Lytechinus pictus: one gene and its partners. The protein of the gene in region 3 binds, or shares a complex with, the protein of the main gene of each other region. Links are inferred from orthologs where the notes say so. Each region holds a gene or a part of one and is shown on either strand. Other genes may lie near its edges. The genes, in order: MICOS complex subunit MIC19-like, MICOS complex subunit MIC27-like and MICOS complex subunit Mic60-like.

The links.
Region 1: MICOS complex subunit Mic60-like (region 3) and MICOS complex subunit MIC19-like share a complex: the UniProt entries of both Homo sapiens proteins name them as parts of the mitochondrial contact site and cristae organizing system (MICOS) complex. The link is inferred for Lytechinus pictus from reciprocal best matches to the Homo sapiens genes IMMT and CHCHD3.
Region 2: MICOS complex subunit Mic60-like (region 3) and MICOS complex subunit MIC27-like share a complex: the UniProt entries of both Homo sapiens proteins name them as parts of the mitochondrial contact site and cristae organizing system (MICOS) complex. The link is inferred for Lytechinus pictus from reciprocal best matches to the Homo sapiens genes IMMT and APOOL.

What each region holds. Positions count from the first base shown.
Region 1 is NC_087247.1:64,770,333-64,778,144, forward strand, and holds the start of MICOS complex subunit MIC19-like, read right to left. Parts: upstream 3,060-7,812; 5' UTR 2,827-3,059; coding exon 2,749-2,826; intron 1-2,748. UniProt on the Homo sapiens protein: Component of the MICOS complex, a large protein complex of the mitochondrial inner membrane that plays crucial roles in the maintenance of crista junctions, inner membrane architecture, and formation of contact sites to the outer membrane.
Region 2 is NC_087245.1:8,321,584-8,328,636, forward strand, and holds the start of MICOS complex subunit MIC27-like, read right to left. Parts: upstream 3,070-7,053; 5' UTR 3,064-3,069; coding exon of another isoform or gene 2,972-3,063; 5' UTR 2,754-2,971; coding exon 2,742-2,753; intron 1-2,741. Other genes in the region: pre-mRNA-processing factor 6-like, read left to right, coding at 2,972-3,063. UniProt on the Homo sapiens protein: Component of the MICOS complex, a large protein complex of the mitochondrial inner membrane that plays crucial roles in the maintenance of crista junctions, inner membrane architecture, and formation of contact sites to the outer membrane.
Region 3 is NC_087256.1:25,317,245-25,324,355, forward strand, and holds the start of MICOS complex subunit Mic60-like, read left to right. Parts: upstream 1-3,998; 5' UTR 3,999-4,139; intron 4,140-5,201; 5' UTR 5,202-5,226; coding exon 5,227-5,444; intron 5,445-6,634; coding exon 6,635-6,689; intron 6,690-7,111. UniProt on the Homo sapiens protein: Component of the MICOS complex, a large protein complex of the mitochondrial inner membrane that plays crucial roles in the maintenance of crista junctions, inner membrane architecture, and formation of contact sites to the outer membrane.

The DNA of each region.
Region 1 (7,812 bases), on a different chromosome or scaffold from region 3:
CAAGTGAAATCTATATTCGGGCAAGTATTTTCCAACTATTTGAAAATTTACTTGCCCGACTGGGCAAGTGCTTCAAAAAAGTTATGTAGCACCCTGCCTCTGTTGCATGATGAGTAACCGAAGACAAGGAATATATGAAAATTGCTGCAAACATGTCCAAGTGGATATAGTGCTTTGCAATAATAATTAAAACATACAAAAAGGTGTGCAATCCGCAATGGAAAAAATACTATTTACAGAAATAATGCTAACAAATTACAATGATCATAAATGTTGGTCATCTTTAAAGTTGATCACTTAATTTATGGAAGCTTATATAAGAATATAAAAAATATATATGTTCAACATGTCAAAGTTGAGAAGAGACTACATTATTAACATTACATAGGGGCCGAAAGGGGCCTACCCTACGATTTAAAATGCGCTTCTTCGTATGGACTTTCCATAATCTTTTCTTTAATGAACTTATCTTCATTTGTAATGATTGTGATGGATTCGAAAGCTATAGACCAATCTGTATCTTAAATTCAATTAGCTTTTTTGTTACTGCAGATTTTTTGTTTTGTTTCACTCTTTCACATCTCAAGTTAGCCCAAATCCGACAATTAATTTTCATTCATTAAAATTAATCTCTGCAAAAAACAATAATTATAATCATAAAAATGAAATAAAAATAAATAAATGATTTACCATGTTTAACATTTTAGTTTTGTATCGTGTTTTTTTTTTGCTGAACGTTATAAACAAGTTTTTTACCAAGTTTTTTTTTCTTTAAAGAAATTTGTTTTCATGTTGTTTAATTATCTTTAATGAGAAAGCATTGAGGGGTCAGAAAGATAGTGCCGCCCATTTCGATATTTAAAAAAAAATTAATGGAAATGGTGTGGGGATAGGACGGAGGGAGAATAAAAGAAAACATATTAAAAAAATATTTGGGCCTACATTACCCCCGGACAAAATACCCCGGAGAAGTTAAAATGACATCCGTTTTTGGTCGACTTGCCGTGCAAAAAAATAACTTGGCGCCATCCCAGATAAAATGCATCAGTGTGCAACCCCAAAAATGTTAAAGATGATATGTCAATGTGGCTTGCCGTAAACGTATTTTCTCTCATTCTCAATGCCGACGGTGGCGGGCGGTGTGCAAAGAAGATCATGCCTACGTATAGAACAAAAGCTTCAGTCTCTGTATTTTGCTTTGGTTGTTCCGCTGAACTGAGTCTGACCGAGTTGGCTCTCTCAGACAGTCTCACCAATATAGTAAAATGTCAGAAAATGTTGAATAAATCCCAAGAAACGACGGTTATGGTTATTCCTGTCTAGCCTACGGCTACGTAGGACATGTCTGGAGGTGTCTTTCCAAGGACCATTCTTCGTATCGCCCAAATCGGCTTTGTGAAACAGTTGAGCGATATCTCGTTCTTCCGTAGAATGGTTCTACGAAAGACCCTTTCATGCAACAGGCCCCAGCAGAACAACCAACACAACAGAGACCGAAGCTTTTGGTCTACGTCTAACGTAACCCAGGGAGCTCCGGCCCGCACAGCGGGCCGGAGCCCAGGGGCTTACTGTGTAATTCGCCATACCCCACGGTAGTGGTAGTAGCGTGAGGTATGGTCTAAATCATTTTAAGAGTAAATACTTATATTATAACAGAAATTAAGCACTTACCACGATTATATGGATGAAGGTCTAACGAGTGGCAGCTTCCTGACATCGAGGCACAGACTGGAACCTCAAAAAACGAAAAGTTCTGTCGCGGTAGCTCTCCTTCTTTCAGAATTCATAGCAAAATGGCCGTTCGAGACCAGTACCGAGGGTGTAGGGCACATGCGCGAATTTGACGAAGTCTATATGCGCTAGTGCTATAGCCTGTCTCGATCGGCCATTTTGTTTTGAATTTTGAAAGAAGGAGAGCTACCGCGACAGTAGACCAATGTAGACAGCTGGCAGCTGTCTGTTTCGAGGAGTTTTTTAACATTTTTTTATTTTTTAAATTTCTCCTCATAGTTACACAGACGGCTCACTATCGTGCAGCCACCATTAGGGGACTTACAATGCAAAATCCCCCCGTCGGGGCTCTTCAATTTTTGTCTTTAATGAATCAAACTTTTGAAAATTAACGCAACCGAAATGCAAATTAATATTCCCTCTTGGCATTAATTGCCAAAAAACGGGGAAAATCAAGTTAAAAGGAACAAAAACAGTGACTTACCTTGGCTGTCGTGCAACTTCACTGCCCTGTTTTATCCGAACTTAAACATATGGCCATTGAGTCCCCTGTACAGATCGCGCTAGAACTTCGGTCTCTGTATTTGGTGAGTGAAGCCAACGGAGTTCAGCTGAACAACCAACATAACACTAACAGAGACCGAAGCTTTTGGTCTACTGTCTAGGGGCCTACCGCGACAGAACTTTTCGTTAATTTGAGGTTCCAGTCTGTGCATCGATGTCAGGAAGCTGCCACTCGTTAGACCTTCATCCATATAATCGTGGTAAGTGCTTAATTTCTGTTTTAAGTATTTACTCTTAAAATGATTTAGACCATACCTCACGCTACTACCGTGGGGTATGGCGAATTACACGGTAAGCCCCTGGCCCTGGGCTCCGGGCCGCTGCGCGGGTTACGTCTAACGTTAACTAGTTAACGTTAGACGTAACCCGCGCAGCGGCCCGGAGCTTTTACTTTAGTTTTAGGGACCCTAGACCGAGCCGAGAAAGTCAGAAACAAGTAATATATTCACTCACTTTAACTACTCCTCCGTCAGCATCTTGTTCTAAACTAATTCTTCTCCCAGGGCTACTAGTACTACTACTCCCTCCCATATTTGCAGAAGGTAAATTAAAGTGAAAGCGACCTTTCTTGGCGATCTACCTATACTACTAATACTATAGATAATACTAGTGTCGATGTCGCGAATTCGAAGCGGTAGGCACTTATGATCCAAGTTTGAAAGGAGACTCGTAAAATGACGTCACTCTCGCCGATGAATATTCATTAGATCGTGGTCGTGCGTTTTCAATACACACTGCGTGCAGGCATGCAGATAGTTATATGCGAGGAACTTTGGCTCCAGAGACAAGTTGTCAAATAACGTGTGTGTGTGTGCGTGTGTGTACCATCGGCTGGTAGTATTCCATGCTGTCTAAGACTTCAAACGCGTCGGAGAGAGTGCATGGCAATTCGGTAAAACGAAGTTTCCGATATAAAGAGATAATAAAATAACACTATATGTACAGTACGTTGAGAGGCAAATGTCAGATCAGGGGAGGCAGGAGTACAATCAGGTTTTTTTTTAAAGGGAAGAATAGTGTAGAATAAAAGGTATTATATATATATAGCCAAATGATCTAGGTGAGGGAAGTGAACAATGATGTTTTTAAAAAAAGAATGAATACCTTACCTGAATATTATGGTGAAGCCAATTTAAAAGGAGGTGAGGCAAGTTTCAATGGAGGTTTTTAAAAAGAATAAACTGTATTATGGTGAAGCCAATTTAAAAGGAGGTGAGGCAAGTTTCAATGGAGGTTTTTAAAAAGAATAAACTGTATATGGTGAAGCCAATTTGAAAGGAGGTGAGGCAAGTTTCAATGGAGGTTTTTTTAAAAGAATAAATTATGGTGAAGCCAATTTAAAAGGAGGTGAGGCAAGTTTCAATGGAAGTTTTTAAAAAAGAATAAACTGTACTACAAATTTAAAAGGAGGCGACGCAAGTGTCAATGGAGGTTTTTAAAAAGAATAAACTGTACTACAAATTTAAAAGGAGGCGAGGCAAGTTTCAATTGAGGTTTTTAAAAAGAATAAACTGTACTACAAATTATGGTGAAGCCAATTTAAAAGGAGGTGAGGCAAGTTTCAATGGAGGTTTTTAAAAAGAATAAACTGTACTACAAATTATGGTGAAGCCAATTTAAAAGGAGGTGAGGCAAGTTTTAATGGAGGTTTTTAAAAAGAATAAACTGTATTATGGTGAAGCCAATTTAAAAGGAGGTGAGGCAAGTTTCAATGGAGGTTTTTAAAAAGAATAAACTGTATATGGTGAAGCCAGTTTAAAAGGAGGTGAGGCAAGTTTCAATGGAGGTTTTTAAAAAGAATAAACTGTACTACAAATTATGGTGAAGCCAATTTAAAAGGAGGTGAGGCAAGTTTCAATGGTAGTTTTTAAAAAAGAATAAACTGTACTACAAATTTAAAAGGAGGCGACGCAAGTGTCAATGGAGGTTTTTAAAAAGAATAAACTGTACTACAAATTTAAAAGGAGGCGAGGCAAGTTTCAATTGAGGTTTTTAAAAAGAATAAACTGTACTACAAATTATGGTGAAGCCAATTTAAAAGGAGGTGAGGCAAGTTTCAATGGAGGTTTTTAAAAAGAATAAACTGTACTACAAATTATGGTGAAGCCAATTTAAAAGGAGGTGAGGCAAGTTTTAATGGAGGTTTTTAAAAAGAATAAACTGTATTATGGTGAAGCCAATTTAAAAGGAGGTGAGGCAAGTTTCAATGGAGGTTTTTAAAAAGAATAAACTGTATATGGTGAAGCCAGTTTAAAAGGAGGTGAGGCAAGTTTCAATGGAGGTTTTTAAAAAGAATAAACTGTACTACAAATTATGGTGAAGCCAATTTAAAAGGAGGTGAGGCAAGTTTCAATGGTAGTTTTTAAAAAAGAATAAACTGTACTACAAATTTAAAAGGAGGCGAGGCAAGTTTCAATGGAGGTTTTTAAAAAGAAAAAACTGTACTACAAATTATGGTGAAGCCAATTTAAAAGGAGGTGAGGCAAGTTTCAATGGAGGTTTTTAAAAAGAATAAACTGTATATGGTGAAGCCAGTTTAAAAGGAGGCGACGCAAGTGTCAATGGAGGTTTTTAAAAAGAATAAACTGTACTACAAATTTAAAAGGAGGCGAGGCAAGTTTCAATGGAGGTTTTTAAAAAGAAAAAACTGTACTACAAATTATGGTGAAGCCAATTTAAAAGGAGGTGAGGCAAGTTTCAATGGAGGTTTTTAAAAAGAATAAACTGTATTACAAATTATGGTGAAGCCAATTTAAAAGGAGGTGAGGCAATTAGTTAATGGAGGTTTTTAAAAAGAATAAACTGTATTACAAGTTATGGTGAAGGCAATTTGAGAGGAGGTGAGGCATGTCTACAATGATTTTTTTTAAAGAATGATAAGTGTAGAATATAATTCAAATGATGAAGCCATCTTGAGAGGTGCATGAGGCAAGTCTACAATGAGGTTTCTAAAAACAATGAATAGTGAAGAAAAAGATCGCAATTGCTTTTAATAATCCACAAAATTGTGTAGTTATTTATTTCATGCAAATTGCTATTAATTGATTATGCTCATTTGTGCATAATTAGTATACTATACCTATTCCTCTAACTCCCTAAATAAAGCTCCAAATTTTCTAATTTTTGGTTTAGAAACTCTTTGTGGTGTTCTTCGATAACGTATTTCTTGTGTTTTTACCTTTGTATTGCATTGTTTTTTTCAACGATGCTCGGACTCTCGTAACAGCATAAAATAAACAGTTTAGTTCAACAAAACTAAAAACAATTAGGCATTCATGAATTTTGGTTGAAAACGCATATTCCATTGACGTGGTACACAAATATCACAATTTTGAGCCATTTTTGTCTGATATGCACTTACAAATTGTTTGGTAATTTTCAGAACCCAGTACCCGGGCTTCGCAAAACTGGTCTCAAAACATGCAAAAGACTTCTTTTTTTTTAAATCGCAGAGCTCAGAGCCCCCCCCCCCCCCCCTGCGTAAATAGGTTAAGTTTGCATTAATTTTGAACTTTTCCATTCCCAAATACGTAATATCCCCTCCCCAAAAATGCAATTGTCACTGAAATGGAATATATATAATATATTTTTTAATAAGCCATGTTTTGCAAAATAATCATCATGTCATCCTTTGTCAACAAGAAATCTGTACATGTCCTCTGCTGGAAGAAAATAATACCTCGGCCGCCTATTAAATTCTCAGTTTTGATTTTGTAAGTATTTTACTTAGCAATTTGGCTGGCTTATCAAAATGCTTAAACTTGTATGCAGATCAGATCTCAGAATTTACCTTATCCAAATTGAACTAAATACTAATACCCATTGTGATGTTATAAATTTTGAGCCAAATAGTGCCAAATGTGTGAATGTATTTCTGTGCGTATCATTTTTGTATATGTAGACTTAAGTCTAGTAGATGGCTGACTTACATTTAAGCAAAATATTTAGCCCAAAAAAAATGCAATTGAATACCAAAGATGGATAAGTATTTTACTTTTGCAAAATACTGAGTAAAATATACTTGAAATTGTGGCTTTAAGAGTAGCATTGAATACCGGCCCTGTTCCTCATCATCATTATCATCCCACTATACTTGACTGAACCATATAGTATTAAACAAAGCTAATTCCACATGTTCAGGGAGGAATTAATCGTTGTATCACTTGACATTAAGGAGAAACTTGGAATATTTCATATTTCCTATAATAAAATACAAAAGAAATAGTGAGAGGATGACGTCATCAGTCTCCTCAGGTGCATACAGACCAGGATGTGCATATAACTGTTTTTTTTAATTAAGCAAAACTTTAAAATGTCATAACTTGCTTCATCATTTGAATTATATTCTACACTTATCATTCTTTAAAAAAAATCATTGTAGACATGCCTCACCTCCTCTCAAATTGCCTTCACCATAACTTGTAATACAGTTTATTCTTTTAAAAAACCTCCATTAACTAATTGCCTCACCTCCTTTTAAATTGGCTTCACCATAATTTGTAATACAGTTTATTCTTTTTAAAAACCTCCATTGAAACTTGCCTCACCTCCTTTTAAATTGGCTTCACCATAATTTGTAGTACAGTTCATTATTATTCTTTTTAAGAACCTCCATCGAAACTTGCCTCGCCTCCTTTTAAATTTGTAGTACAGTTTCTTCTTTTTAAAAACCTCCATTGACACTTGCCTCACCTCCTTTTAAATTAGCTTCACCATAATTTGTAGTACAGTTTATTCTTTTTAAAAACCTCCATTGAAACTTGCCTCGCCTCCTTTTAAATTTGTAGTACAGTTTATTCTTTTTAAAAACCTCCATTGACACTTGCGTCGCCTCCTTTTAAATTTGTAGTACAGTTTATTCTTTTTTAAAAACCTCCATTGAAACTTGCCTCACCTCCTTTTAAATTGGCTTCACCATAATTTGTAGTACAGTTTATTCTTTTTAAAAACCTCTATTGAAACTTGCGTCGCCTCCTTTTAAATTTGTAGTATACCCAGTTGTTGTGTGTCCGGACAGGTTGTGTGTCCGGACGATCAATTTTAGAAAGTCATTTGGAAAAATTTACAAGCGAAGTTTCATCAATGTTTAGTGCAAAATGTAAGGAAATATTATAGCGACCAAAATGGAAGATGATTACAACTATTGAATTCATATTTTTAGTGTAATCCAAAGACAAAAAAGAAGGCTTCAAAAATATAAAGTGTCCGGACACCCGACCCCCCATCCTACAGTTTATTCTTTTTTAAAAACCTCCATTGAAACTTGCCTCACCTCCTTTTAAACTGGCTTCACCATAATACAGTTTATTCTTTTTAAAAACCTCCATTAAAACTTGCCTCACCTCCTTTTAAATTGGCTTCACCATATACAGTTTATTCTTTTTAAAAACCTCCATTGAAACTTGTCTCACCTCCTTTTAAATTGGCTTCATAATTTGTAGTACAGTTTTTTCTTTTTAAAAACCTCCATTGAAACTTGCCTCGCCTCCTTTTAAATTTGTAGTACAGTTTATTCTT
Region 2 (7,053 bases), on a different chromosome or scaffold from region 3:
CAATGACCATATGTTTATGTATAAAGTTCGGACAAACCAAGGAATAGGAGTTGCGAGACAGCCGACGTAAATCACTGTTTTTGTCCTTTTAAGTTTATTTTTTCCTGTTTTGGTGCATTTCGGGCCAAAACAGAATAATATTAATAATCTTTATTTTGGTCCCGTTCTTATTATATATTTTTATGAAATAAAGAAAAAACTCAATGAGCCCTGTCGGGAGGATTTTGCATTTTTATCCTCCGACCCTAATTTAATGGCTGCTGCACGATCGCGAGCCGTCTGTGTACGACTACGAGGAGATATTTTAAAAAAAATACAAATGTAAAAAAAAACTCCTTGAAACGGACGGCTGCCAGCTGTATTGTTGAATTCACACTTTACTCTGCAGCTCTGGGCCTTAGCACCCAAGCCAGGGTTCATTACATGCCACCGCGCACAGAAAAATCAAGCCATAGAAGTCGTGTGTTGTGGACACCAGAAGTGAGATCCCAGCATTCGCGACCCACTAGTTAGAAATCCACTGCCAAACGCGGTTCATGGTGCGAGGTTAGTATACTAGTATTAGTAGGGTGTCTGGAGAAAAAAAATTATTTTTCTTATTTCAAGAAAATATCACATTTTCTTTGTGAATTTGAAGAGAAGTGACCTTCAAACTGACAGAAATGTAACATTTTTGAAAAAATCAAATTATTGGCTGCAAAAAAGAAGAATGAAATTAGGTCAATTTTCAGCATTTCTCTGCCATAGACTGAGTACGGTAGTTAAGAAATGGACACACACAATTCCAAATTTTTAGCTTCCGAGAGCTGTAGTGTTATAAATTTATCATGAATGCCAAAAACTTGTCCATAAAGAGTCCAATAGGATTTTTTATGCTCTTTCTGATGGTATGATTTTTATAAAGATTTGGAAACCAGATCACAATGAAAAATTGTGACAAAGTGAAAAAAATTGTGCAAAACAGACATTTCATTTTCCCATAGAAAACGCATGGGGAAATGGCAATCTCAACACACACACAAATAAGGGTTTGCAATTTATCTCTAAATCCTTATTTAAAATGATCATATAAACTTGTCCTTACTGTCAAAAGAAGCCCCTGAATTTTCTCTTTCCATACATACATGCCAAACACAAGTTAATAATCAATTCAGATCACATTTTTCTAGCAGCCTGGGGCCCGTTTCTCAACACCTGGACAAGTTAGTCATATCTTTATCCACCAACCATGGAGTTAGTTCCAATCTTACTAAACCCGTTTCACGAAAGGCTTCCTAACTAAAATACCTTGATATCGATACTATCGGTAAAATGAGCAGACGAGACGTAGCCTTAGTCACAAAATAGCCTAATTTTCAAAAAGAAAAATTATGACAAAATTGCAAATATTGTGATGAATTGGGAAATACATCTTTTCAAAATAACAGCACATGTAAATTATGGATCATACATACTTAGAACATGAAGATTGGAGCATTCAGTTGCTGAGAAAATTAAATTATTAATAATTCATTTCATGACTAGAAAATCACATGTGGACGTTGAGATGGGTACCCCCGGGACATCTAATTTTAATAGTTTACGAAAGTAAACCATAACGTTTTTCGTTGTAAAATGATGATAATTATACGCCCTTCTACGGTTCCATACATCATCAAACTATAGTTTAATATTTTTTTTTTAATATTTGATACCGAAACATGCAATTTGAGAAATTCTATGCATAAATTAGAGATAGAATTTATCCAAATGTTAATAGGGGTCTGAAAACGACAAATACGAGTCCAGTTATGGATGGCGCCTGACGTGGTAGAATCTTTATCGATTAAATCATTTCACTATTTCAAACTGAATGGTTTTGTGGCGTTTTACTAACAGTTTTCATAGTTTCTTTGTATTAGAATTATTTAATGCATTATCCCACTTGTTTTGTGATGTAATTTCAACCTCTATGATTGATTACGTAAGATCATTATTTTCAAATATCTAGGCAATTTTGCATGTCATAGTCTACCCACGTGATGCCACTACGTCATTAAGAAAGAAGTTATGACAGCTTCGGAGGTGTCATAAATATTTAGTGAGGTTGTTGTACCCGATCTTGGTAAAGAGGGCTTCGTGAAACGGTTAGCGGACAAGTAGCTCACTAACTCCGATTTAGTCAAGAAGTTAGACTTATGACGGTGTTGAGAAACGGGCCCCTGAACTTCCCGAAAAAATGTGCAATTTTTTCCCCTAAATCAGCCTGTTTTATGCTGACACTTTTTAGTGTGGCTTCAGACACCCTAGTCCCTAGTAGTAGTATTAGTAATACTAGTACTAGTACTAACCTCGCAATACGTGTGAGTGGGCCTTTACTCTTTAGTAACCCAGGGAACTCCCGCCCGCGCAGCGGGCGCCCGCTGAGCGGGCGGGAGCTCCCTGGGGCTGGGTTAGGCCTTTAGACTTAGTAGATCCAACACGTTAGATCTCGTAGAGAATTTGATTTAACTTCAACTCAGCTAGCTCAGACCACTCTCAGAAACAATTCGTAGCGTAGGCAGACGTCAAACATGCCCCCCCCCCCCTATTTCATACATATTTTTACAGTCTCACTCACTGCTCAGCTCAGTCCCACTCGTTGAAGAAACTGTTTTTGTGTAGGACCTAACTGTATTGTAACGTTAGAACTCTGCATATTTCGCTCAGTATTCAGAAATAAACGCCATCATAAATTTTGTGTAAATATGGTATTACTATACCTGTCTAGACATTGCTGAATTCACACTTTACCCTGGGCCTTTAGTACTAGATCAAGTAGAGAATTTGATTTATCTTCGACTGACGACTCAGTCTCGTCTCAGAAACAATTCGTGGACTATAACTAACCGAACCGGATACGTGAACCGATATACGGGCTCCATATCCGGGCGGTACCGTACGTGTCATCAAGTACCGTACCGGTTTAAAATCGAGTCGATATCTGTTCAAGATGGCAGCGCCCGGTGCACTCGTCAACAAGAAACGTCGGGAATTCATGAACATGCCCGCTCCATTGGGCTATGTTCCTGGATTGGGTAGAGGGTATGTAGATAAATGTATTGTTCCTTTTTAGACTAGTCAACAAGCGCCAGTGTACCGTACATTTTTCAGTTCGGTATCTGGACATATTATAGCATGTATAGTAATAGCACTGACTGTCTGTACCGCCACCGTAACCTGAGCCTCAACCTAGCCTTGCCTGCCCCGGGCCCCGCTTGGCCGGCTGGCCATGATCTGAACTTCGCCTCGGCCGCGCCGATAACCGTTTCGGTTTCGTCAGCTCAGCGCAACCTCGGGCTCAGACTCAGTCAGACTTGTGAGGTGATACTGATACGTTGTTGTTTGTTGGGTATAAAATAGTTAATGGCGGCCAGTCATATTCTACCGCCAGTTCATTACTTTTTTTCCTTCTTTCTTTTCCAACTCCAAGATTATGAAGATAAAAAACAAGAAACAAAAAGTTTTCGTTTCTTTTTTCCTTCCTCTCTATCCTTGGCTTTTTTCTTTTCCTAAATCTTTACTCTCCCACTTTTCTTATATTTTTTAGATCTAAGTTAGAAGTCTAGGTCATTTAGGTGATTTATTGAATATTAAATTTATTCTTATTGTTATTATCCTAACTTACATGATCGTATCTTACAGGGGCCCGTTTCTCAACACATGGACAAGTTAGTCATATCTTTATCCACCAACCGCGGAGTTAGTTCCAATCTTACTAAACCTGTTTCTCGAAAGGCTTCCTAACTAGAATACCTTGATATCGATACTATCGGTAAAAACAGCAGACGAGACGTAGCCTTAGTCACAAAATAGCATAATTTTCAAAAAGAAAAATTATGACAAAATTGCAAATATTGTGATAAATTGGGAAATAAATCTTTTCAAAATAATAGCACAGGTGAATTATGCATCGTACATACTTAGACCATGAAGACTGGATCATTCAATTACAGAGAAAATTAAATTATGAATCATTCATTTCATGACTAAAAAGTCACTTATGGACGTTGAGATGGGTATCCCCGGGATATCCAATTTTGATAGTTTACAAAAGTAAACCATAACGGTTTTCTTTGTAAAATGATGATAATTATACGGTCTTTTACGATTCCAAACGTCATCAAAATGTAGTTCAATGAAACATTTTTAATCATTGCGGATACCGAAACATACGATATTTGACAAATTGAATGCATGAATTAGAGATAGAATTTATCCAACTGTCTGAAAGGGGTCTGAAAACAACAAATATGAGTTCAGTTATGGATGGCCTGACGTGGTAGAATATTTATCGATTAAATCATTTTACTATTTCAAAATGAATGGTTTTGTGGCGTCTTACCAACAGTTTTTATAGTTTCATTGTATTACAATTATCATTGAATGCATTAACCCACTTGTTTTGTGATGTAATTTCAACCTATATGATTGATTACGTAAGATTATAATTGCAAAATTTCTAGGCACTTTTGCATGTCATAGTCTACCCACGTGATGCCATACGTCATTAAGAAAGAAGTTATGACAGGTTCGGAGGTGTCATAAATATTTAGTGAGGTTGTTGTACCCGATCTTGGTAAAGAGGGCTTCGTGAAACGGTTAGCGGACAAGTAGCTCACTATCTCCGATTTAGTCAAGAAGTTAGACTTATGACGGTGTTGAGAAACGGGCCCCTGGGGCCAGTTTCTCAACACCTGGACAAGTTTGTCATATCTTTATCCACCAACCACTCTTACTAAACCTGTTTCTCAAAAGGCTTCCTAACTAGAATACCTTGATATCGATACTATCGATAAAAAGAGAAAACTAGACGTAGCCTTAGTCACAAAATATCATAATTTTCAAAAAGAAAAATTATGACAAAATTGCAAATATTGTGATGAATTGGGAAATAAATCTTTTCAAAATAATAGCACAGGTGAATTATGCATCATACATACTTAGACCATGAAGACTAGAGCATTCAATTGCAGAGAAAATTAAATTATGAATAATTAATTTCATGACTAAAAAATCACTTCTGGACGTTGAGATGGGTACCCCCGGGATATCCAATTTCAATAGTTTACGAAAGTAAACCATGATGGGTTTTTTTGTAAAATGATTATAATTATACGGTCTCTTACGATTCCAAACATCATCAAAATATAGAATAACAAAACATTTTTAATCATTGATACCGAAACATACGATATTTGACAAATTATATGCATAAATTAGAGATAGAATTTATCCAACTGTTAATAGGGGTCTGAAAACAACAAATACAAGTTCAGTTATGGATGGCCTGACGTGCTAGAATCTTTATCGAATCTTTATCGATTAAATCATTTTACTATTTCAAAATGAATGGTTTTGTGGCGTTTTACCAACAGTTTTTATAGTTTCTTTGTATTACAATTATCATTGAATGCATATCCCACTTGTTTTGTGATGTCCTTTTCAACCTCTATGATCGATTACGTAAGATTATAATTTAAAATTTCTAGGCACTTTTGCATGTCATAGTCTACCCACGTGATGCCACTACGTCATCGAGAAAGAAGTTATGACAGGTTCGGATGTGTCATAAATATTTAGTGAGGTTGTTGTACCCGATCTTGGTAAAGAGGGCTTTGTGAAATGGTTAGCGGACAAGTAGCTCACTATCTCCGATTTAGTCAAGAAGTTAGACTTATGACGGTGTTGAGAAACGGGCCCCAGATTACCCGGATCCTGTCCCTCGTTCGATAGTGAGTGATTGTATTACCTACCGGCCTTGTATTACCGCACACGCGCAGCGTACGCGTCAGAAAATAATTTCATATGCTCTAAACTTTGCAACATCCTTCCAAAGAGAACTTGAATAGAAAGATGATGAAAAATGGTCAAAAGCACATTTTCAAAAAATCTTAATATTCTAAAAATAATAAAATATGGTCAAAATAGCCCATTAGTGATTTTGTTGGGTTCTCAATTTTTCCCATAGAAAACACACGTTCGGTAATACCATACCTTTTTCAAGTGACCAAAATATTTCATGCGAAGAGGGGTCCGATTGGAAGCTAATACCGTAAAATAAAAAAACGATTTCAGCAAAATTTTTACATATTTATATTTTGTAGGTAATTATGTATTTTTGGTGAAAGATTTATGAATTTTAAGAGAATAATGTGTTTGATATGACTGAATTCATGAAAAGTGTTCGGTAATACGATCCACTACCATACTCCAGACGTCCTGTCTCTTCATTGCTGACAGGGGGCTTCCTTTGACCTTTGGGATACTCTAATATCAATTATTGAAACTCAAAAAGAAATTAAAAGAAAAATTAATTGGATCTGGATGTATACGATGCAGGGCCCTCCTGAGCGTAAACACATCGGGTGAGAGAGGGCGGAGTGAGGATTATAAGGTTCTGTCAATGGCCTTGAATGAGCTTGTCAATATTGATGACAGCGTCACTCAGTGATTCCACTCAATGATATTGGATGGGAGAACGAGTTCCTCATTGTTCAGTTTGTGCTCTGATTGGATTGTTGCACTTGTTATTATTTGTCACTTGCCTATTTGTAGTGTCACAGATTTCAAATTGTTTGGCACGGATACGTCGTTTGGATTTTATAGGTTGAGCAAAATTTTGGATTGGGAGAGCTGGCAGCAACCTCCCGACCACTTTGAAGAAGAGGGTGAGTTTGAGGTTCCTTCTTCTTTCCTTGAGGCTTGGGAGATGTAGTTCTGCTAGCTTGTTTGTGATGAAACCCTCATCTCTAGACACATACATGTAGTTCCCTGTGTTGAAGCGAACTGCTCTCCTTTGGACACTTTCGTGTCTGTTTGTGTCCTTTTGCAGGTATGGATCCCATACTACTGCAGCATACTCGAGGAGGGATCTTACGAGTGCAGTATAGGCAGTGCGTTTGACGTAAACCAGGGAAAAAGTGGAGATTCCTACGAAGGAGGGATAAGACCCAGTTTGCCTTCTAGGTAGTCTTTGCAACATGCTTCTCCCGCTTGAGGTCCTCTGAGATGATAAGCCCGAGGTAGCGTGTA
Region 3 (7,111 bases):
TCAAGAAAGAAGGCTACACAGTGTTAGACTTGTGAAAAAAGTACAGGATTGGAAGGGAGGGTGAACGAAAGAATGAAGGAGAGAAAGAAAAGAGATGAATTGAGAAGAAAGAAAGAAAAAATGTTTGAAAATGAAGGAAATAATAAAAAATATAAGAAAGTTCTAATAAAAAAAGGATGAGAGAATAAAAATAGATAAAAAGGTTTCCGTCATTCTTTGAATTGAATATAGAAAGAAAAAAAAAAGAAAAGGGAAGATGAATAAATGTGTGAAAGTCAAAATAAAGAAGAGAAAGACAAAAAGAAAGTAAGAAAAAAGGAGGAGGAAAGAAAGAATGAAGGAAAGAAAATGTTTCCTTCATTCTTGGAAAGAAAAACAAAGAAAGAAGAAAACAGGAAGGAAGGAAGGAAGGAATGAAGGAAGAAAGGGAAAGAAAGTAAAAGAGAAAAGAATAAGAAGGACAAAATGAAATAAATAATGAAAGAAAGAAAGGAGGAAAGAGAGGGAGGAAAGAATGAAGGGAGGAAAGAATGAAAAAATGAAGAAAATAATGGAAGGGAGAAGGAATGAAGGAAATAAAAAAAAAGGAAATGTAATAAAGAAGGCAATTAAGAGAAAGAAGGAAAGAAAGAAAATGAACAGAAAGAGAGAGAAAGGATCAGGAAATGAAAATAGATATGTAACAAAAAAGGGCAAGAAGGAAGGATAGATAGAAAAGAAAGAAAGAGGAAAAAGTTCAAATATCAAGCAAATAAAAACAATCCAATCATATAACAAAAATCCTAATGATATTTGGTGTTTTTTTAATATATATTTTTAAAATTAAAAAATACTAAAATGTTTTAGAAATGAATAAAATACGGGACGTCTGGTCTGGCCGAGTCAGTCCGAAGCTTGCATGCATTCAGCACGATCTAGCTCGAGACTCGGCTGGCTCGCGATCGCTCGTGTACGTCCGTACATGTACTGTAGCGCCGATGTATTAGAGCATAGAGAGCATGCGCTCAGAGGGTGAGAGAGGGGTTTCCCCAGCTAGCTCCTTCGTCGATTAGTAGCGCATGCGCACATTGTAGTTTAGAAAGTAAGATGGCAGCCCCCATCGAACGGGACCGCTGGCGATAAATTGTCGGTAAATTGGCGCTGATTTGACATCTTTCCACTGTTTTTTGACAGGTATGACATTGTATGAGAGATAATTGGCCGATAATTGCAATTTATCAAAAAATTATTAAACTTTACTGTCAATTTATCTTTTTCATTTTCAAAACAACCACTTGCCCGATCGGGCAATTGACTTTGAGAAATGCTTGCCTGCACGTCATTTTCACTTGTCCCGGGCAAGCGGGTTTGTCGCGCCCTGTTGATAGTATTGGAAAAATATTTAGTCTTCATCGTCATCTGAACCTTTTATTTCGGAATGACGACTTTTCATAAAATCATATATTTCAATAAAAGGGGATCAAATAATGTTTTATTTAGTACTGATTGTAGAATTGATGTATGGAGCGTACTTTATGAGGTAAAAAGAAAAAAATTCAAGATTCACAAACATAACTGGATAAAATCGAAATTTTCATTATTTCCCTTATTTAGAACACTGTATCCTTTTAGAGACACCTTTCATTGATATTTCAACGAAAGAGACTCTTGTCCGACATAAAAATTGATCTAACTAAGTAATTTCGACATTTTATTAGTTCAATATACTGATTTTTTATAGAATACATATATATAATGATGATTTTGCAAATTATGCGTTAATATGTTATTTGTTGAGGTAAAAATAGGGTTTGAATGGAGTAAACAAAATCAACAGTGTCTGATTGTATGAGACTAAAAAGGAAAATATGAGAGGATGCCTGTGAAAAATCTAATTCATTTATTTTATTTGTCACATATAACGCAAGAAATACAAATGTGAGTGTTTAGAGTATAAACATACATGTACCTCAGTTGCATGATGAGTAACCGAAGACAAGGAAAATATGAAAATTGCTGCAAACATGTCCAAGTGGATAAAGTAGTGCTTTGCAATAACAATTAAAACATAGAAAAAGGTGTGCAATCCGCAATGGAAAAAATACTATTTACAGAAATAATGCTAAATATTACAATGATCATAAACGTTGGCATAGTTTAAAGTTGATCACTTAATTTATGGAAGCTTATATAAGAATATAAGGTTTGACCTGTGACCGATCGCGATCGCATGCGATGTTTTGAAATCAGCCGTGAATAATACGTGTGAGGAGAAAGATACTGGCCCAAAATCACCAATTTTGAGGATAACCAGAGGATGGAAACGGAGTGAAATACAGGTGTAGAGTAAGATATTAAGTTATTCATCTTTCTTGTTATATTTTTTTTCTTTAATTTTTACGATAAACATGATTTCCATCCCACCTTTGTGACTCAGTATATCCGAACTGGTTCACCGTCTCGATATTCGTGTAGGTGGAGCGTAGTGTAGCGGTAGTGAAGTGGAGTGGAGCCTGCACGAACATCGCTCGAGGTAGATATAATCTAACCTTGTTCTCTGACTTTGTTACTACTCCCTGTGTGGTGAAATAAGGTTGGCAATGTTTGGCTTACGCCTTACTTTTCTCTTTTTCTTTGGGAAAAATGCATGATTTTTTTACACTGTCAGTTTCCATTACAGCTATTCATCATATAACCTGGCTCTTGAGTAAATTTGATTCTTTAAATTATTTTTTCTTAATTTAAAACAGAGATTGAAAAATGACAATTGTCTTGCCATATTACTTTCCACCAATAGAGGGCGTACAAAAAAATATGCCCAAAATTCAAGTTTTCGAGCGCTCTGGTGAATACAAAAATTACTCCCAAGTTACTAATGAAAAATAAATTGCAACGTGTAATCGTGTATGGAAATAAGTATTTTTGGTCACAAAAGTGATATTTTAATGATTTCTTTTTTATTGTGTGTTGTGTACTGCATTGGCATACCATCAGTAGAGGTGCACGGCCAATATGGGAGACTGTCTCCCATGAGAGAGATTATCCCAATATTAGAGACTTTTTTAAAGAATTTGGGTATCCAATTTCAGAGACAGTCTCCAGTTTGGGAGGCCAATTTCCTTCGTTTACATTTGCTGCAAGAGGATTACCTTCCTGGCAAATAAAAATGTGATAAGCAGATTCCTCATGAAAAATTACCCCTTTTCAACGTCTTCTTTAAAAATTCACGGACTACTTTTGTTTTTAGAAGGATTTTTGTTGTCATCCACACACAAAACAAATGGGCTTCTGACCTCAGTGAGACAAAATTTTGGGTGGAAAAAATTACGCTTTTGTTGGTGTTGTTTCTTTTGTTCTTTTGCAAAGCAAGTCTCCAATGTGGGAGATTGTCTCCCATATTGGAGAGAGTCTCCCATATTGGCCGTGCGGGTAGTCCTACCTGTAGATTCCCCACAGGCAGGGTGGTTGCAATGAGCAAGTGCAAGCACATAGAGGCAGGCCGTTGTTTTCACTCGCCTTACAATAAAGAAGCTTAGTGTTTGGAATCCAGTTTGCATAAATCAAGTTGCAATGCCAGGTAATTCAAATGACTTATTACAATTTTGGGACTTCTGATTGCTCATTGGGTGATTTCAAGTTCAGTGTTGACCTTTTGGTGTTGGTGTTAGGTCAATTTTTACACGATTATAACACCAAACATAAAATGGAGATGGTCCCGAAAAGTCACTCACTAGTTGATGAGATGTCAATAATGTGATCTGGATCAGTTTTACAAACTCTGAATAAGTTTCGGAGCTAGGGGAAGCAATCCAAATTCCAACACCAACACCAAGGCCAACACCGGACTTGAAATCACCCATTGGCTTCTTCTGGAAGTTAATAATCGGTAAGCTTCTATCAATTTCAGATTATTTTACAAATGAGTCTCAAAAACAATTCCAAACAACCCCTTCCATGTATGTACCTAAAAATTGCAACCGATTAATCTATTTTGTTATCCTTTGTTGTTGGTAGGCATGTAATTGTCGGACGGCCAATCGGGTGAGCTCCAATTCTGGAGGACAATGCAGTTATTGTTCAAAGCCCAGCTCGGCCCCTGCTGGAGCTCCTAAATCAGCCCCTCCACCGCCACCACCACCGCCACCATCTGCACCAAAGAGGTAAGTCTGTTGAATCAAAACACGATTGTATTGAAGGCCTGTATTAAAATAAAAAAAAATGATTTGGTCAAAATGGCACATGGCAGAACTTTTTTTTAGGCGATTCCCTGTGTATGCTTTGTAGACTAATTGAGAAATTTACTGTATAGGCAATGCTTCTGTGAATGAATTAGTTTCAGTGAACATTGTGAATTAAATGCCAGTAATTGGAAAGTTGATTCACAATATAAACTAAGATTAATTTGTGTGCGGTGTATCCCCAAAACTTATGAACCAAAATTCAGGGATGAATACCAGAGTAATAACACAGATGTACTATACCCATGTTGATTTTCACATTAAAAATGAAATGATAGGTGTCATTTTAAAACCTGTCTAAAATGTTGCCAAACATTAAAAAAAGAAATTTATAGAAGATTATTATTTCAAGTATTCCAATTTTTGTGTATGATATGTTCACTTTGTATCATACTGGCTGCCATCACCCATGATGTATCAAAGTGAGATGATCCGTTGGTGAGGTACATGCCTCCTTGTGTTGGATAAATCTTGCCCAAGCTGTGATACTGAGGGGGCTGCGTAACATATACCATGCAGTGAATACATAACCAAATGTATATGTATGTGTGTGCTCGTAATCTTCATTCCATATGATGGAGGCATTGAATAATATGAAGCATTTCTACTCCATGCTGACTGCGGAGTCAGCAAATACCCTTCACCTTGCACTTTAAATGTTTAACCCCCAAATAGGCAGAATCATTAAACTTTCCCAGGACAATCAACAAGTGTAAAAATGGTAAAACGGGCACCGTTTCAAGGCGATTCGGTGACTGTCTGTAGGAAAAAGCGTCAACAAAACAACAGACAGACATATATAGACACATGCACCAGATTAGCCAAAGATTGCATGTTTTACACAACATGTGTTTTGTGATACTCTTTTTTTAAAATTTTTATTATATCAAACAGTCAGTTTAAAGCGTAGACCTGAATGATCTTTAGATTTACACAACTATCATATGGATTTGAAGTCATGATTTGATTGTTTTGTTCTTGTAGGTCTGGTGGTGCGGGGAAGGTCATCATGGGCGGTCTATTGGTAGGAGTAGGAGCGACCGTTGGCACGTTAGCCTACGCCAAGGCAAACCCTGAATTCAGGAAGCAGGTGGAGAGTAACTGGCCTTTGCTCCTGGACGTCTTTCCTTACTTCTTCGATGAGGATGCATCGCCGGCAGAGACCGGCAAGTCTAAAGCAGATACCATGTCTCTTGGCGGAGGAAAGAAACCGTTGATACCCACCAGGTAGGTCTTAACACGAAAGTCCCCTTCCGCATCACCGATCTTTGAGGCTGGTTGTTTCTTCAATTTTATTGAACAGTTGTAGAGAAAATGATGTTGTTGATGATGATGGGTTCTTGTATAGGGTCGATATCCGCCTCTGCTGGGCGCTCATGGCCCTTGCTCAAAAATAGGAAATGTCTCACAAATTTCAAATTTTAATTGTGTCATGTAACAGATAGCTCAAGCTTAGCTCGAGCTAAAGCTTGGTTTCTAATAATAGTGTACCTCGGATTAGATTATTTCTCGATAGATGGCACTATATAAATGTCTATTCCTCTTCTTACCTCTTTTTCTTCTTCCTTTTCTTATAATTGTTGTTATTATTATCATTATTATTAAATCAAGAGAAAAGTTCATTTTGAAAAAAAAAATTGTTTCCTGTTGTCATTGGATAGTGGGATAATGAGGGTGAATATGAATAATGAAGATATGTTTAATAAAGAATCTTTAGCAAGATAGCCAGATGCAAAATGGCATTTTGCCATATCTGTTATAGAAAAGGATTGATAGTGACAAAAGAAGAACATATGCAGGAGAGTGACTGATGAGGTGAATAGTATCTATTGAAACTGAATCAAATAGGCCGGTTTACCATATGGGTGTTCCTTTCTTTGGAGCCTAGTTACAATGTATTCATCCAACCTGTCAGTAATAAGGCATCACTACTGTATTTGGAATCCAATGTGTACATGTATGTATCATCTGTTGCTATGTCTGGCAAATCTCTGACAATTTTTTGGGGTTGTCAGGAGCAACCTGTGTTCAGAAATATGCATACAATTTTTATACATATGTATGTTAATCGACAGATCTATGAGTGAATTTGATTTTTTAAAGCACTGCAACATATGGTGGCCACGATGGGGGGGGGGGGGGCTTCCAAAGAAGTACTTTTAATGGGATATTCAATAAACCAGGTGTGTTGCTATGTCAGTAAATACATTATCTTTTGATAAGACATGAAGCCCCTCCAGATAGAAATTACCATAAAAACAGCAACCAAACCAAACCATATTGGTCTGTACTAAACTGAACTGAATAATTGTTCAACAAAAAAAATCTAAATATCCAAGTATTTATTCCTACATTGTGTTGTCTCCATCATGCCAGTATTTATCAAGCGCGCATCTCTATTTTTTTCTTCTTTGTAGCTCACCAAAAACCATCACTCCCGTCAGTGAGGCACCACTTGCTGTATCTAAACCAGTAAGTACATATCTGTTGATATTCACTAGATGTAGTTTCAAATATGAGAAGATGTGTAAATTATGAAGGAGCATGTAGTTCATGATGATTACTTTTTGTCTCGCCCACCAGAGGTGTAGGCGAGACTTAGGGATCCAAATGTTGTCCGTCCGTCCGTCACAAACCATATGACACATAACTCTGCAACTGTAAGTCACTTTTCACCCAAACTTGGGTTGTAGATGTACTGAGGAGACCTGCATGTCATGGCGCAATCAGAGGTCACATGGTTAGGTCAAAGGTCATTTTGAGGTCAATGATGTGACACATAACTCTGCAACTGTAAGTCACTTTTATACCAAACCTGGGTTGTAGGTGTACTTAGGAGACCTGCATGTTATTGTGTTTGGAGGTCTCATGGTAAGGTCAAAGTTCATTTTTAG